2 linked regions of the Diceros bicornis minor genome follow. The protein of the gene in region 1 purifies or fractionates together with the protein of each later gene. This does not show direct contact. Links are inferred from orthologs where the notes say so. Each region holds a gene or a part of one and is shown in the gene's direction. Other genes may lie near its edges.

The links. Proteins that work in one complex are often made in the same cells at the same time.
Region 2: the proteins of POLD1 (region 1) and POLD3 purify together in Homo sapiens (co-immunoprecipitation; 8 studies listed by BioGRID and IntAct, with this or other methods). This does not show direct contact. The link is inferred for Diceros bicornis minor from reciprocal best matches to the Homo sapiens genes POLD1 and POLD3.

The regions. Positions count from the first base shown.
Region 1 is NC_080773.1:25,594,030-25,601,262, forward strand, and holds the start of POLD1 (DNA polymerase delta catalytic subunit), read left to right. Parts: upstream 1-4,224; 5' UTR 4,225-4,225; coding exon 4,226-4,427; intron 4,428-4,767; coding exon 4,768-4,881; intron 4,882-7,136; coding exon 7,137-7,233. UniProt on the Homo sapiens protein: As the catalytic component of the trimeric (Pol-delta3 complex) and tetrameric DNA polymerase delta complexes (Pol-delta4 complex), plays a crucial role in high fidelity genome replication, including in lagging strand synthesis, and repair.
Region 2 is NC_080746.1:56,440,900-56,448,614, reverse strand, and holds the start of POLD3 (DNA polymerase delta subunit 3), read left to right. Parts: upstream 1-4,701; 5' UTR 4,702-4,848; coding exon 4,849-4,908; intron 4,909-6,268; coding exon 6,269-6,324; intron 6,325-7,715. UniProt on the Homo sapiens protein: Accessory component of both the DNA polymerase delta complex and the DNA polymerase zeta complex.

The DNA.
Region 1 (7,233 bases):
CCTCACCCACAAAACCAGTGTTACCAGTTTATTGCTTATCTTTCCAGAATTATGCATTAAAAGCAAATATATTTATACATATTCTCCAGCCCACCTGGTGAAAATGTTTTTCTTTTACGTACTTCCCCCCAACTTTTTATTTTGAAAAGTTTCAAACCTGCAGAGAAGTTACAAGACAAGGATAATCTGTGCCCTTGCCCAGGTTCACCGGTTGTTAACATACACACGCATACACACATTGGGTTCTTTTTTGGCTGAACTATTTGCAAGTTGTGATCATCATGATACTTTGCCTCAAAAAACCCCAGCAGGTATCTCTTTTTCTTTGCTGAGGAAGACTGGCCCTGGGCTGACATCCGTGCCCATCTTCCTCTACTTTATATGGGACGCCGCCACAGCACGGCTTGACAAGCGGTGTGTAGGTCCTCGCCTGGGATCCGAACCTGCGAACCCCGGGCCGCCAAAGCAGAGCACGCAAACTTAACCAGTACGCCACCAGGCCAGCCCCAGGTATCTCTTAAGAACAGGGATGCCCGCCTACGTAGCTACAGTATAATTATCATAATCAGGCCATTTAACGGGATACAGCCCTATTATCTCATAGACAGTCTTTATTCCTGTTGTCCCGGTACTCTTAGCTATTTTCAATTTTTTAATCCAAGATCTAATCTGGGGTCACACTTTGCATTTAGTTGTCAGCACTCTGTAGTCTTTCCTTTAATCTAAAACAGTTTCCTGGCTGTTTTTTTCCCCCCTTTCATGACATACGACATTTTTGAAGATTCCAGACTGGTATTTTTACAGACCACTCTTTACTTTGGTTTGATTGTTTCCTAGTGACTAGAATCAGGGTAAACATTTTCCTTGACATCTTTTTTTTTTTTTTCATACAAAAGATAGCACTAAGTACACCGTTCTGCACCTTGCCTTCTCTACCTAACAATGGGTCTTTGAGAGCCCTCCATATCAGTGCATAGAGAGCTTCCTCATTCCTTTATACAGCTGCATAGTATTCCATGGAACGGAATTAATGTAATTGATTTAAACAGTCCCCCAGGGGAGGACATTTAGGTGGTTTCCAGTCTTTTGTGATTGCAAACAGTGCTGCCGGAAATAACCTTGTAAATGTACTTTTTCATTATGTGATAGTATATCTGTAGCATGAACCCCTAGGTGTGGAATTGCAGCCTCCCCACTTTTATGTTTCTAATTGAGGTGTAATTTACATATAGTGAAATGCACAGGTCTCAGGTGGACAGCTGGATATGCAGTACATTTCCATCACTCCAGAAAATTCCCTTGTGCCCCTTCCCGGTCAATCTCTCCCACCCCGCAAGCAGCCACTAGCCTGATTTCTAGCATCATAGATTAGTTTAGTCTATTCTAGAACTTTGTGTAAACGGCATCCTACAATATATACTCTTTTTATAATTGAGACGAAATTAACCATTTTAAAGTGTACTGTGCAGTGGCGTTTACCATACTTACAATGTTGTGCAGTCACCCACCTCCATCTAGTTCCAGAATATTTTCTTTCTTTTTTTTTTTGTTTCTTTTGGTGAAGAAGATTGGCCCTGAGCTAACATCTGTTGCCAGTCCTCCTCTTTTTGCTTGAGGAAGATTGTCCCCAAGCTAACATCTGTGCCTGTCTTCCTCTGTTTTGTATATGGGACGCCGCCACAGGATGGCTTGATGAGTGGTGTGTAAGTCTGCGCCTGGGATCCAAACCTTTGAACCCCGGGCCGCCGAAGCAGACCACGTGAACCCAACCGCTACGCCCCCAGGCAGGCCCCTCTAGAACATTTTCATGCCCCCAAAAGGAAACCCCATGCTCGTTAGCAGTCACTCCCCATCCCCCCAGGGTGTACTCATGTCTGGCTTGTGTTCGGTGTGTTTTGGAGATTCATCCATCCTGTGTGTATGTATATCAGTAGCTGCCTCTTTTTTTAATGCTGAGAGGTATTCCACTGTATCCCACCTCCACACGTTTGCAATAACACACCCCCAACAGTTCAGAATTTTTCTGTGCTGTATTTAAGGTCTAAGCTAAGCCACTGTAACAGAGAGACCCCAAAGCCCAGTGGCTCAGGCAAGATACAAGTTTATTTCTCCACATAGCCCTCCAAAGGTAGGTAGTTCATTTCTCCACATAAACCTCCAAAAGGTTGTTGAGGGGCCCGGGTTCCTTCCATCTTGTAGCTCTGCATTCTCTGGAATGTTATCCTTTTCCCTGTGGTCACGGTTGGTTCACCACCACCACATCCATGCTCCAGCCATCGGGAAGGGGGAAGGTGCTGGAGGGCAAGCTTCCTTCTAAGGCTGTCCCCGATGTTGCACGCCTTGAAGTCGTTCCCGTTCCGTGAGAGAGAACTCGGTCACGTGACCACCCCAGCAGTGCACACCGTGAAACGTAGTCTCGAGCTGGGCAGCCTGTGGCAGCCCCAAGGCAAGGGGTCGGTGTTGAAAAGGATGAAGGGGGGAGACTGGATCTGGGGGCATAGTTGTGGGATCCAGAGGTGTTCCCTTGAACCTGGGCAGCTGACCTATCCACTCCCCTCCCCTCCCCACCAGCTGGGTCTGGGGTCTGCTCTAGGCTCCCATAATCCCCTCTGTCTCAGCCTGGACACTGAGAGATGTGTGCTTTTCTAACAATTCATTTTCTTTTTTAATAATTTCAAACATGGGAAGGTTGAAAGAATAATACCAAGAACACCTGTGTACCCTTCACCCAGATTCACCTGTTTTCACAGTTTTCCTTATTTACTTTGTGATTTGCACACACACATGCTTTCTTTTTCTCCTCTCTATGTACATATGCACACTGTAAAACAACTTTTCCGAACAGCTTGCATAGATCATGGCCATTTACCCCTAAATACTTAAGTGTGCATTTCCTTAGAATATTCTCTTTCTGAGCCGCAGAAAGTTACCAACTTGAATAGGCTTAACCTAAATACAGTCTTTTGTCTAATCTACTAGAGGACATGTACTTGTATATCAATATATCCTGTCAAAATATACCCCTCAGATAGGGGCCGGCCTGGTGGCGTAGTGGTTAAGTGCGCGTGCTCCCCTTCGGCAGTCCGGGGTTTGCGGGTTCGGATCCCAGGCGTGGACCTATGCACCGCTCATCAAGCCATGCTGTGGCAGCGTCCCATATAAAGTGGAGGAAGATGGGCATGGATGTCAGCCTAGGGCCAATCTTCCTCAGCAAAAAGAGGGGGATTGGCAGATGTTAGCCCAGGGCTGATCTTCCTCACCAAAAAAAAAAAAAAAAAAAAAAAAAACGAAAAAGAATACATGTAAACACATCTAAACAGCAGTCTCTATTTGGTTTGCTGTTGTGTTTCCTACTTTGGATTGTGGATTGAGGGCGGGGGCTGCTCTCAAGGGCATTTTGGGGATTATTGGAGAAATTGGAAAAAGGACTCTTTATTTTGTATTATTATTGAGTCAGTGTTAAATGTCCTGGATTTGATCATTGCACCATGCTTATTTAAGAGAATGTCCTTAAATAGGAAAATAGATAGTAATCTGAATTGTGCATATTGTATATGGGGGTGGGGAGAGGGAGTGGGAAGCAGATGTGGCCCCATATTGACACTCGGGGACTCTGGGTGAAGGCTACACAGGAGTTCTATGAGTTTGAAATTATTTCAGAATAAAAAGGGAGGGCTCTTGTGTTTGTTTTGTTTTTGAGTGCAGTGTTTTGAGCTGGGAAGGGACCTGATCAGATCCGTCTTTCAGGCCACTCCCTGGCCCCCAACACAGTGACTGGCCTGAAGGGGGCGCTGCCCAGCTGTTTGTCGAGGGAAGGCCCGGGCAGATGTGGTGATGGGCGGGCGAGGGCCTTGAGGACAGAGGTTTATGGGAAAGAAAGGGAAGTGCTAAGGAACGATGATGTGATGTGATGGGCAGAGAGGGGAGAGGGCGAGGAGAGCCAGTGACGAGGGGTCTGCAAGGGGCAAGTACCCAGGGACAGAAGGACGTGGAGGGCCTGAGCGTGTGAGGAGAGGGTTAGGCTGAGCTGGGGGGTGGGCTGGAGTTACATCAGCTGATGATCACTGGGCGTCTGGAGCGTTCCAGCACCCTGTGAGCCTGCGGGTGGAGAGCCGTGTTACCCTTCAGGCGCTCCAGAGAATCAAAAGGCTCACAGTCATGGTGGGTGCACGGGAGGCCACGGAGAAGGCGGGAACCCTCACCCAGCCCCGAATTGCCTGGCAGGATGGATGGCAAGCGGCGGTCAGGCCCGGGGCCCGGGGTGCCCCCGAAGCGGGCCCGGGGGGGCCTCTGGGATGAGGATGAGGCGTCTGGGCCGTCCCAGTTCGAGGAGGATCTGGCGCTGATGGAGGAGCTGGAGGCAGAGCACCGGCTGCAGGAACAGGAGGAGGAGGAGCTACTGTCGGCCGTGGACGGGGCTGCGGACGGTGAGGCCTGGAGCGGGAGCCCCCTGCGCCCCCTCCCATCTTGCCTCTGATCTGAGGCAGCCACAGAGCTGACCTGTAACCTCTGGCCCACTTTGAGCCCCACATAGGGCTGACCTTTGACCCCATGCCAGTATACCACTTCCTGCCTGCAGTTTCTATTCTGACCTTGATCCTACAGTCTCTCCCGAGATTCCTGCCTGATCCAGACCACCACCTCCCCTGACTCTCCTTTCACAAATCGGATGCCACCTGAGGGGTCACGGGCTGGGCTGGGAGGGCAGTTACTTATCCTGAGGGAGAACCCCGACTCATGTAGCCCTGCTTCCCTCCCCACACGCAGGGCAGTTCTCCCAGACAGCCATAGATCCCCGCTGGCTTCGGCCCTCCCCGCCCCCCCTAGACCCCCAGACGGAGCCCCTCATCTTCCAGCAGTTGGAGATCGACCATTACGTAGGTGAGTTTGGGGGACAGAAGCCTGGCGGGTGGGTGGAGGGGCCCTGGGCTCCTGCGGGGGAGGCCTGGCCGCGTCAGCCCCGCTGGCTCTGTGGGAGGAGATGGACACAGGCAGTCCCTGCCCTGGTGACCGGGGCTGTGAGAGGGAGGGACAGGCCTGGGGGTGCCCAGAGGGGGCAGCGAGGAGTCTGGTGGGGGGTCGAGAGGGGCACGGGTATCCAGAAGGGCTTCCTGGAGGAGGGGAGCATCTTCCAGCTGAGGCCTGGAGGTAAAAAGAACTGACTCCTTGCAGAGGGGAGAGACGTGTGTGACATCCATCCATCCATCCACTTATCTAGTCAGTCAGGAACAGCTGAGCGTCTCTACCGAGCCAGGCCCTGTTCCTGGCAGACCAGGTCCCTGCTCTCAGAGGCTCACGTTCTGGAAGGAGGGGCAAAATAAAAAGGGAAATGGGACAGCAGGTAGCCGTGAGGGTTATAGAAGAACAAAGCGGGGAGTAGGATGCGGGGCGTGCTGGACCACGCTTCTTGAAGGTCCAGGAAGGCCTCTCTGCGGAGGCGACAAGGAGCAGAGGGGATGTCTGGGAAAGAGGGGTTCTGGGTGGAGGGTCCCGGGCAGGAGCAGGTCTGGTGTGTTTAAGGAGCAGCGAGGAGACCAGTGTGGGGGAGCGAGGGGCAGAGATGAAGGCAAGGGGGCACAGGAGAGCCTGTCGCCCGCGAGGACTTCAGGGCTCCGTTCTGAGCGCACTGGGGAGTCTCTCGCAATGCAGAGGCCCGCTCCCCCTTGCCTATTAGAGGCCTCCCTGTGATAGAATGAAAAGAAACTACAGGCGGGGAGGACGCATTCATCACCCACACGCCTGACAGAGGACCGTGCCGCACATATATAGAGAACACTCAGGTCTCCACAGTAAGAGAACAATCCAGTTCAAAAGTGGACACAAAACTTGAACAGACAACTCACTGGAGGAGAAGGATGGCCGAGGAGCATGTGGGATGATGCTCTGTGTCCCTAGCTCCTGGGGAAATGCACGTGACAGCTGCAGGGAGACACAGCACGCCCCTCTCAGAAGGACGGAAGTGAAATATGCTGGCACCACCAGGTGCTGGCGGTACGCGGCAGGGCGCGGCCACTCGGGGAAACAGCCTGGCCGTTTCTTACCGAGTTTAAGCTACTCTCTTTTTGTCCATTGGGACTCTAGTGGGTTTTTTCCAGCTTTATTGAGATAAAAGAGTTAAACCTACTCTTGGGGCTGGCCCTGTGGCCTAGTGGTTAAGTTTGGCACCTTCTGCTTTGGCGGCCTGAGTTTGGTTCCCAGGCGCAGACCTACACCACTCATTGACTGCCATACTGTGGTGGTGACCCTCATACAAAATAGAGGAAGACTGGCACAGATGTTAGTTCAGGGCCAATCTTCCTCAGCAAAAAAAAAAAGAAAGAAAGAAAAAGAAAAGAAGAGTTAAACCTACTCTTACCATAGGACCCAGCAATTCCACCCCTAGATATTTACCCCAGAGAAACAGCAACCTCGCTTCAAACAAAAACCTGTACCCGGATGTTAATAGCATCTCTTCTCATAACCGCCCCAAACTGGAAACAACCCACATATCCTGCTACCGGGGGAGCGGATAAGCAAACTCTGGTCCATCCACACCGCGCAGTGCTTCTCCACAATAAGGAGGAAGGAGCTGTTGACGCGTGAGGAGGATGAATGTCAGGGGTGTCGTGCTGAGTGCGAGGCAGACCCAGCGGTGACGGGCTGTACAACTCCATTCACAGGGACGGTCTCGAAAAGACGCAGTTAGACGGGGAACAGACCGTCAGTGCCGGGGTGGGGTGGGAGGGGGGCGTGGTTGCAGAGGGGCAGCTCGAGGGAGCTGTCCGGAGTGGCGGAAGCGTCTAGTACCCCGATTTTGGTGGTGGTTACGTGAATGTGTATGTGCGTTCAAGCTCGTAACACTATACAAAGTCGATTTTACTTTTTAAAAGAAAATCTTTGCATTTGCAGAAAAGGGTGGGGGTCTCCGTCTGGCTGCGCCGTGGAAAGTGGACGTTAGGGGGACAAGGGTGGAAACGGAGCCCGGGGCAGGCGGGGCTCGCCTCCACGCCAGGGCTGAAATCAGGCGGCGTGCACAGCGCGGAAGGGCCCCGAGCTGCAGGAACGGGGCTGCGTTCCCGGCACGGGAGGGCCCCGGGGAGGCGAACCTTTGAGGAGTCTGAGAGGGCAGCCCCTGCCTTACCCTGTGACGCCCCCAGGCCCAGCACAGCCCCTGCCTTGGGCGCCGTTGCCACCTCTCGGCTCCGTGCCTGTGCTCCGCGCCTTCGGGGTCACCGACGAGGGCGTCTCCATCTG
Region 2 (7,715 bases), on another chromosome or scaffold:
GTTACTTAACCTCTCCGAGCTCCAGCTTCTTCATCTGCAAAACAGGGATAACAGTAGGTAAATAATAATATTTACTTATTTTACAGAATTGTTTTGAGGATTAAATGAGAATATTCAAGTAAAGGGTCTAGTATGGTGCTTATATACTTTACATACTCAATGAATGATAAGAAAAAGTGAACACTATCTCAGGTCACCTTGTTTCTTAATCCAGTGTTTTTCCCCCTTAAATCTTGCCTTCAGTGTAATTGAAGTTAAGTCAATAAACATTTACTAAGAACCTATTAGATGCTGATGTGGTTGTTGTTATGTTAGAAGGAGGCCAGTTCTAAAATCCTACTTAGTTATTAGTTTAAGCAAAGCTTGTCTTGGAACCTATATCGAATCATTTCCTATTCACTCTTCCTATTGATAACATAAAATTGATTTCAAATTTGAGTCCTTTTTGGTGAAGGAGTAATAGAATAGAATAGAATAGCAGGGTTATTTGAGGATGAAATGAGTCATTCTACGAAAGGTACCCACACATGGTAGGTGCTCAATAGACAATAGTTATTATCCCAGCAATGCACACGAGCTGAAAGACTTTCACACCTATGATTTATGGAAGTGAAAGTACAGAGAGGTCCTCTTTTCTGGTTTAGTTTTTTGTTTTTTTTTGGTGAAGAAGATTACCCCTGAGCTAACATCTGTTGCCAATCCTCTTTTTGCTGAGAAAGATTGGCCCTGGGCTAACATCCGTGCCCATCTTTCTCTACTTTATATGTGGGATGCTGCCACAGCATGGCTTGATAAGCAGTGCGTAGGTCTGTGCCCGGGATCCAAACCCGAGAACTCTGGGCCACCAAAGCTGAGCGTGCGAACTCAACCACTATGCCATCAGGCTGGCCCCTGTGGTTTACTTTTGACCCTAGAACTAAGCTTTCAGGCATCATCTAGAAAAAACACTAATTTCCTGGACATAGTCCTATTCTTGTTTACTGGCTTTTGCTAGCTATAGTTCCAACTCTCTAAACCTAATCTAACTTTCTGTCCCCTGCCCTTCCAACAACTGCCCTTCCAACAACTGCCTTGAAAACTTCCCAGGTTAACTTGTTTGCCTGGATTCTATGTTCCCACAACCTGTAGATAATCAACATATACCATTTGTTTCTTGGCTTCCGCAATTCTCATTTTGATGTGCACAGGGATTCCTCCAAAGTTCTGCAATAAATGTGTTTGAGTTCACTGTATTTATTATTGGTTTTCCTATATGCAGGTGTAAACTAATAACGAGACAGCAAAACACAGTGTTTACGATCATAGATGCTGGAGCCAGACTGCCTGGGTTTTAGTTTTAGCTCTGCCCCTTACTCTGTGATCTTGGGCAAGTTACTTAACCTCTCTGTGCCAATGTTTACTTATGTGGAAAAATGGGATAATAACGCACCTTACTTTCTAGGGTTCTTATGGACATTACATGGGTTAATATTTGTAAAGCACTTGGAACAGAGCCTGGCATATAGTTAGTGGTATATAAGTGTTTGTTATAAAATACTAGTTATCATTTATAAAAAGCTTAGCTATCTACCAGCCACAGAACATGTTACTTTCAATCCCCTTAATCACAAAAGGTAAATTATTTATACTGGTGTTCTAGAGCTGGTCTGTGTTTGCTTAGGAGAGCCAAATGTTGAAGTTTCAGAAAGTTTGCAAGTCAGTTGTTAAACAAGGCAATTACTAAAAATTAAATTATATAAATTTATAATTAAACAAATTATATTAAAAACAAAGACAATAAAGATTCGAATCTCATCACTTCCTAATTATTTTACTGCATTTTACTACTATTTATGCTCTTGAGGTTATTTGTTTATTGTACTTGAGTGGTGGAAATAATGGTGTGATATTGTGTACCTTTTCCTAACTCTGCAATCCGTGACATCAATATTGGTAGCTTGAAGTCTGCTATGGTGGGAATATTTACACCACAGAAGTTGGCAACCACTACAAATGAGGGCTTTTTTATTCAGTAAATTGGTTGTTAAACATTTATCAGTATACCACTGCATATTATTATCCCTTCTTTAAAGATGAAACTGAGGACTAGAGAGGTTAAATGATTTGCCTAAGGCCACACAGCTAGGAAGTGGTAGAGCTGGGATTCAAGCCCAGGTTTTTGTTTGTTTGCTTGCTTGCTTTTTAAAAGAAAAATTTTATTTCCAAAGCCCACATGCTTTCTATTCAGCTATGCTCCCCTGAGGTGGGAATGTTCAGGCTGGGTAGGCCTCGGCCACAAACAGAAAAGCTAACCCTTCCCTTCCCCCTCCGGCAACCTTACCCTTAAGGTACAAGCCCAACTCCCAGCCTACCCACTCCTGGGCCGTGGTCATTCTTTTCTAGTACCATTACTCCACCTCAGATTTGGAGATGCCTTTGGTCATTTATCTTATTTGATAATCCCATTACTATCTTGCTTGGGGTCCATTTTTACCCATTATCCCTTCTTCCCAGAATCTCTCTTCTTTTGTCTAAGGTTAAGACTAAATCCATTCTTTCCAATACCTGTACCTGTTTTCTATTTTCCTGGTTTGACAAGACTTGGGACAGTATTTAAGACTCTTCAAATAATCACTTTTCTTAAACTCTTTATTGGCGTGAACATACATACAGAAAACTATACATATCAGAAGTGTACAATTCAAATCATTTTCACAAACTCAACCTACCCATGAGACCAGTGCCGAGATCCAGAACCAGAACATCACCCTTTTCTCCGAAGCCTTCCACTTCCTACTCTCCAAAGGGTAACCACTAATCTGGCTTCTAAAAGTCATGCAACTCTCTTAATATTGGTATATCTAGGACCACGGTGGGCCAGCATTATCATCTCTCCCTTTGGCATAGGGTTAGTATTCAGACTCCTCTCTGGTGAATTATCTTGACTTATTTCCCACTCCTGTGTAGCAATGACAAGAAACTTGAGTTCCAATCCCAATGCTACCACTTAACCCTGTGACCTAGAAAATCCATGTCTCCTCTCTCTTTTTTTTTTTTGTTGAGAAAGATTCTCCCTGAGCTAAGATCTGTGTCAATTTTCCTCTATTCTGTATGTGGGACATTGCCACAGCATGGCTGACGAGTGGTGTAGGTCCACACCCAGGATCCAAACCTGTGAACCTGGGCCACCAAAGTGGAGTGTGCTGAACTTAACCACCAGGCCAGGGAGCCAGACCCAGCCATGTCTCCTCTCTTAAGCCTAGGCAATTTAGTCTATAAAATCTGGACAAACACAAGGCATTTGCAGGGTTGCTATCAGGATTAAATGAAATCTCACTCTCAATGCACCTGGTACAGTGTGCCTGGTATATAGTACTGTAATAGCCAAATGTTATTGATTTTATTGTGTGCAGACATAGTGTGAGGGGTTTATGTATATTATCTTGTTTATAACTCTGGCCAAATAGAATTCTTTGATTTCCTCATCTTCTCTTTCTCTCAGTCTTCTACATCTCAGTAGTCAAATGCTTTACCATTTACCTAACAATTTAGGTTCCAAATCTAGGCATTTTCCTTGATTCCTGTCTTTCCCACACTCCTCTCATCTACTTCATCAGCAGGTTTTGCTGACTCTAAAAAGAAGACCCAAGTCACTCAGGTCTCTCAATTTCCACTACTACTATCCTACTTTAAGCCACTACCATCCGTCACTTAAATCTCTTCACAAGGCTGTAAGCTATATGTGAACAGGTTCTGTGTATTATTGATCATAGCTGTATCCCCAGCACCCCAGCACCCAGAACAGTGCCTGGCCCTTAGTAGGCTTTTGCTAAGTATGTCTTGAATGAATGCATGTAGCAACAAACGTTCGAAGTGGGTACTATTATTACTTTCATCTTATAGATGGAGAAACAGACTTGCAGTGGTTAAATAACTCACTTAAGGTCATACAACAAATATCAAAACCAGGATTCAAATCCAGGCTCTAACTCTAGATAACTGCTGGATTATCCATAATGCTGCTGCATTGAACTACATTGGCTGATGCTGAAGTCAATGATAAAGGTTGTTTTTTAGTGGATGTTAGGAGAAATTTTAGTTGCAATTCCCCAACCTGAAAACTTTTCCCGAGAATAAAGTCCATGTGCCCCTTCACAGAGCCTTGTAGGCGCAGCATGATTTGGCTTCTCCCAAGTCTCATTCCTCCTCTTTCTCCTCTTCTCCCAACATTCCAGCTATGGTGAACCTTTTTCTCTTACCAGCAACGCTCCTGCCTGTATCTGAAACACTCTGCTTCTCCCATCCCCTCTGGAAAACCTTCCCGAATGTTCGATTCTGAGGGATTTATAACAAGCAGCACCTTATCCCTGCTGGCATTACTTTACTAATACTACTTGTTTATTTCCGTCTCTATTGTTCACTGCTGGGTCCCCAGTGCTAAAGAAGTGCCTCAAATAGAATAGGTACTTGATAAATATTTGTTGAATAAAGGGATGCAAGAGCAAGGATTATTTCATCAACTTTCATGTGGAGAGACTGTGGCTCCTCGAGGTGAGGTATTTTACCCTGGGTCAGTCATTAACTAGCAGAGCTGAGATTTGAAACCAGAGATTCCCAGACAGCCCGTCTAGTCCACGCCCGCTCTCCCAGCTCCTCACTTCCGCCCGCTCCTACAAGCTCCGCCCACTTCAGCCTGCGCCATCTCGGAGACTAGTTTGACCCTCGGACGGCCGCCGTAGCGCGTCGCCTCCGTTGCCGTGGGAAACGACCCGGGACCTGGGTGGGAGAAAAGACGTTTCCCGCCGGCGGGAGCTGCGCTTGTGGCGGCAAGGGGAGCTCTGAGGCGGCGGGGACCGGCGTCGCAGCACCATGGCGGACCAGCTTTATCTGGAAAATATAGACGAGTTCGTCACGGACCAGAACAAGATCGTGAGGAGCTAGGACTGGGGAAGGCGGGCGTGCGACGGGGGTCCTGGGCCCAGCGAGGGCGGCGGGGGTCTTGACCCCTCGGCGTGTGTCCTCGTGGGGACCGGCGAAGGGAGAGGGGGGTCCACGCCTCGTGCCTCAGGGCCAGCGAGGACTCGCGGAAGAGGCCCTCTGGCGCGCGCGCAACTCCGCGTCCCTCGAGTGGGCGTGCCCACGCCCCAGGGGCCGTGGAGGTCAGGCGCGGAGGGCGGGGCGTTGGTTGATAATATTTCTAGGGTGTCCCTACACCTGTCTGATAAGGTGGTTGGCGTTTAAGTCCCAAGTTTACAGTTGAGGAAATTATGTCTTAACTGGGTTAAGTGACAAGTTGTTGAATTTTCTGACAGTCGGTTTCCTCTTCCTGTAAATTTGGTATGGACACAGGCTTGACCTGCCTCACAGGTTGGAGTAAAGCTCAAGTGAGATGATGGATGTGAATGCGCTTTGCAAACCGTGGGTAATTGAGTGCCTGCTGTGAACTTTGGATCCACATTATTGCATTTAATCTTTACGGTGACCTACCGAGAGTTAGAAAAGGAAGTTGAAGCAGAGGGGCCAAATAATTTCTTTATACAAATAAAGTAAGGATTTATACGAATTAGTAGGGGATAGGCATTTTTCCAACCTAGGTCTGTCTCTTGCTAATGCTTTCTTCTACATCATACTGCCTTTGCCTAACCTATGTAAGTCTTCTAATTATTGGAAACAGCATTTAGAATTGGAAGACTTTGAGAGGAGAGTGATAGGCATGCAAGGAGGCGACAAGTGACAGGAGAGTTCAAGGAAGGATGGAAGGAAGATCAAGGCTTGATGCATTTAGTTCCCAGTCTACCCTCTGATGCAGTATTCATCCACTTCATTCATTCTCTGGCCCCTGCACCACTGGTGCCCTTTAATGTTTGTTTGTATGGCTGCAACTTTCCTTAGAAGTTTCCAAGTCATACACTTCAAAGAAATCTAGCTTCTGGGTGAATTTGAAGATAATTTTTGGTGGTGGCCCCAAAAAGGGACAGAATGTGAAAAAAAGAGCCTTAGTAAAACAAGGAGTGTGAGAAAAATGAGAGCCCTTTTCTTTCTATGTATATTCAACCTTTCTTTTTAGACTCTTTTGCATTAATTGGTCTGTGAAACAAACTTCTTAGTATTTGTAAGAGAAATCTCTCCATCCTGCCTGCCCAGATGGATCATTCTTGGCAAACTGGGGTGGCATCTATTGTAATTTATAAAGTGTAATCATCTAAGAGTAGGACCTTTTAGGACCCCCTGGGACTGACCTGCACTCTGGAGTCATCTGATAAAACGTTTAAAAAATTTCTTCTTGCAGGTGACGTACAAATGGCTGAGCTATACACTAGGGGTTCACGTCAACCAGGCCAAACAGTAAGTCCAATTTATTACTAATTTTAATCGCATTGGAGTTTTTCGTTTTGCTTTGTTTTTTAGCTTTACAGATGACCTCTAGGTTAGAATTATTTTTTTTTTTCTGGAAAAATGGGAAAGCATGCTATTTTTACTACCTTTTACTACTTTTATTATTTTGGAGATAAGTGGACTTCTACTCAAATGTGTGGTGATACATTTACTGGGTTTATTTGTAACCTTGCCCTCTGGTTAATATCACTTTGTTATATCAAATTTATTAAACAGACTAGCCAGTTCTGTTTATACCTCAGATTTATATGCCTGTTATCTCACATCTTCATTATGTTTTCACACGTGCTCCTTAGGCCCATCTCTGGGTGTTATTGACATACTTCCATAATGAGGTCAACAGGTGTTTTACACAAGCTGTATAATAGTATGAGACGGGAGAACTTAAATAGTTTTTTTAACTTCACTTAAATAGTGAAACTGAAAAGCGAGTGTTTAGGATGGCATAGAGCATTACCTTTCTTGAATTTGCCATATCACTTTTCCTTGCTGAAACTTATAGTCCAACTTGAGGCCAAAAGGGAGAAACAAACTTTGGAATTAACTTCAAAAATTTCTTGACCTGCAAATATGCAGATGTTGTTTATGTCCCAAGAGGAGGAATTGGTGAACAGGCTGAGGGCACATATATTGCGTGAAATACTCATTTAGTTTGTTTTATTCCTGAAGGTAGTCTGATTTTCCCTATTCCTTGAGTCATAGGAACATTCCATGAGTCTTAGAAAATCCCGGATCTCTAAAATGGGTAGATTTGGCTTTATTTGGTTTGCTGTTTGACAGATTTAGGAATCTGATTTTGACTGTGATGTTTATGCCTTCAAGACCTGAAACTCTTGGCCCAGGAATGGGTTTGGACTGATTTTGACTGAGATTGCTGTTGCTAAGACCGGTCCTGGCCCAAACCCAAGAGGTTCAGGTAATTTTGAGAATGGACACCTGTAAGAGTAATAATTTGTTGCGGTTATGAACGTTTAAATATAAAATAAGGTAACTATTAGATAAGCCTGTTGGGGTTTAAAGGTGCATGTTGAGGACTGGAGATGAAATAAATTTGCCTGCAATTTTACTGTAGCTACTCTTATTACTTGTAATTTTTATAGAATTAACATACTGTTTAGGCCCTGCCTATCTACCAACTTCATCCCATGCCACTCTCTACCTCACTTATACTCTAACCGTATTTGCCTTTCTGTTCCTCATATATCCCAAGCCCGTTCTCACCCTGGGACATTTGCACCATTCCCTCTGGCTGGAATGCTCTTCTCCCAGCTGTCCTCATCCTTTAGGTTTCAGCTCCAATTTCACACGTTATTTCTTGTAACAGCCCTTCCCTAATGCTC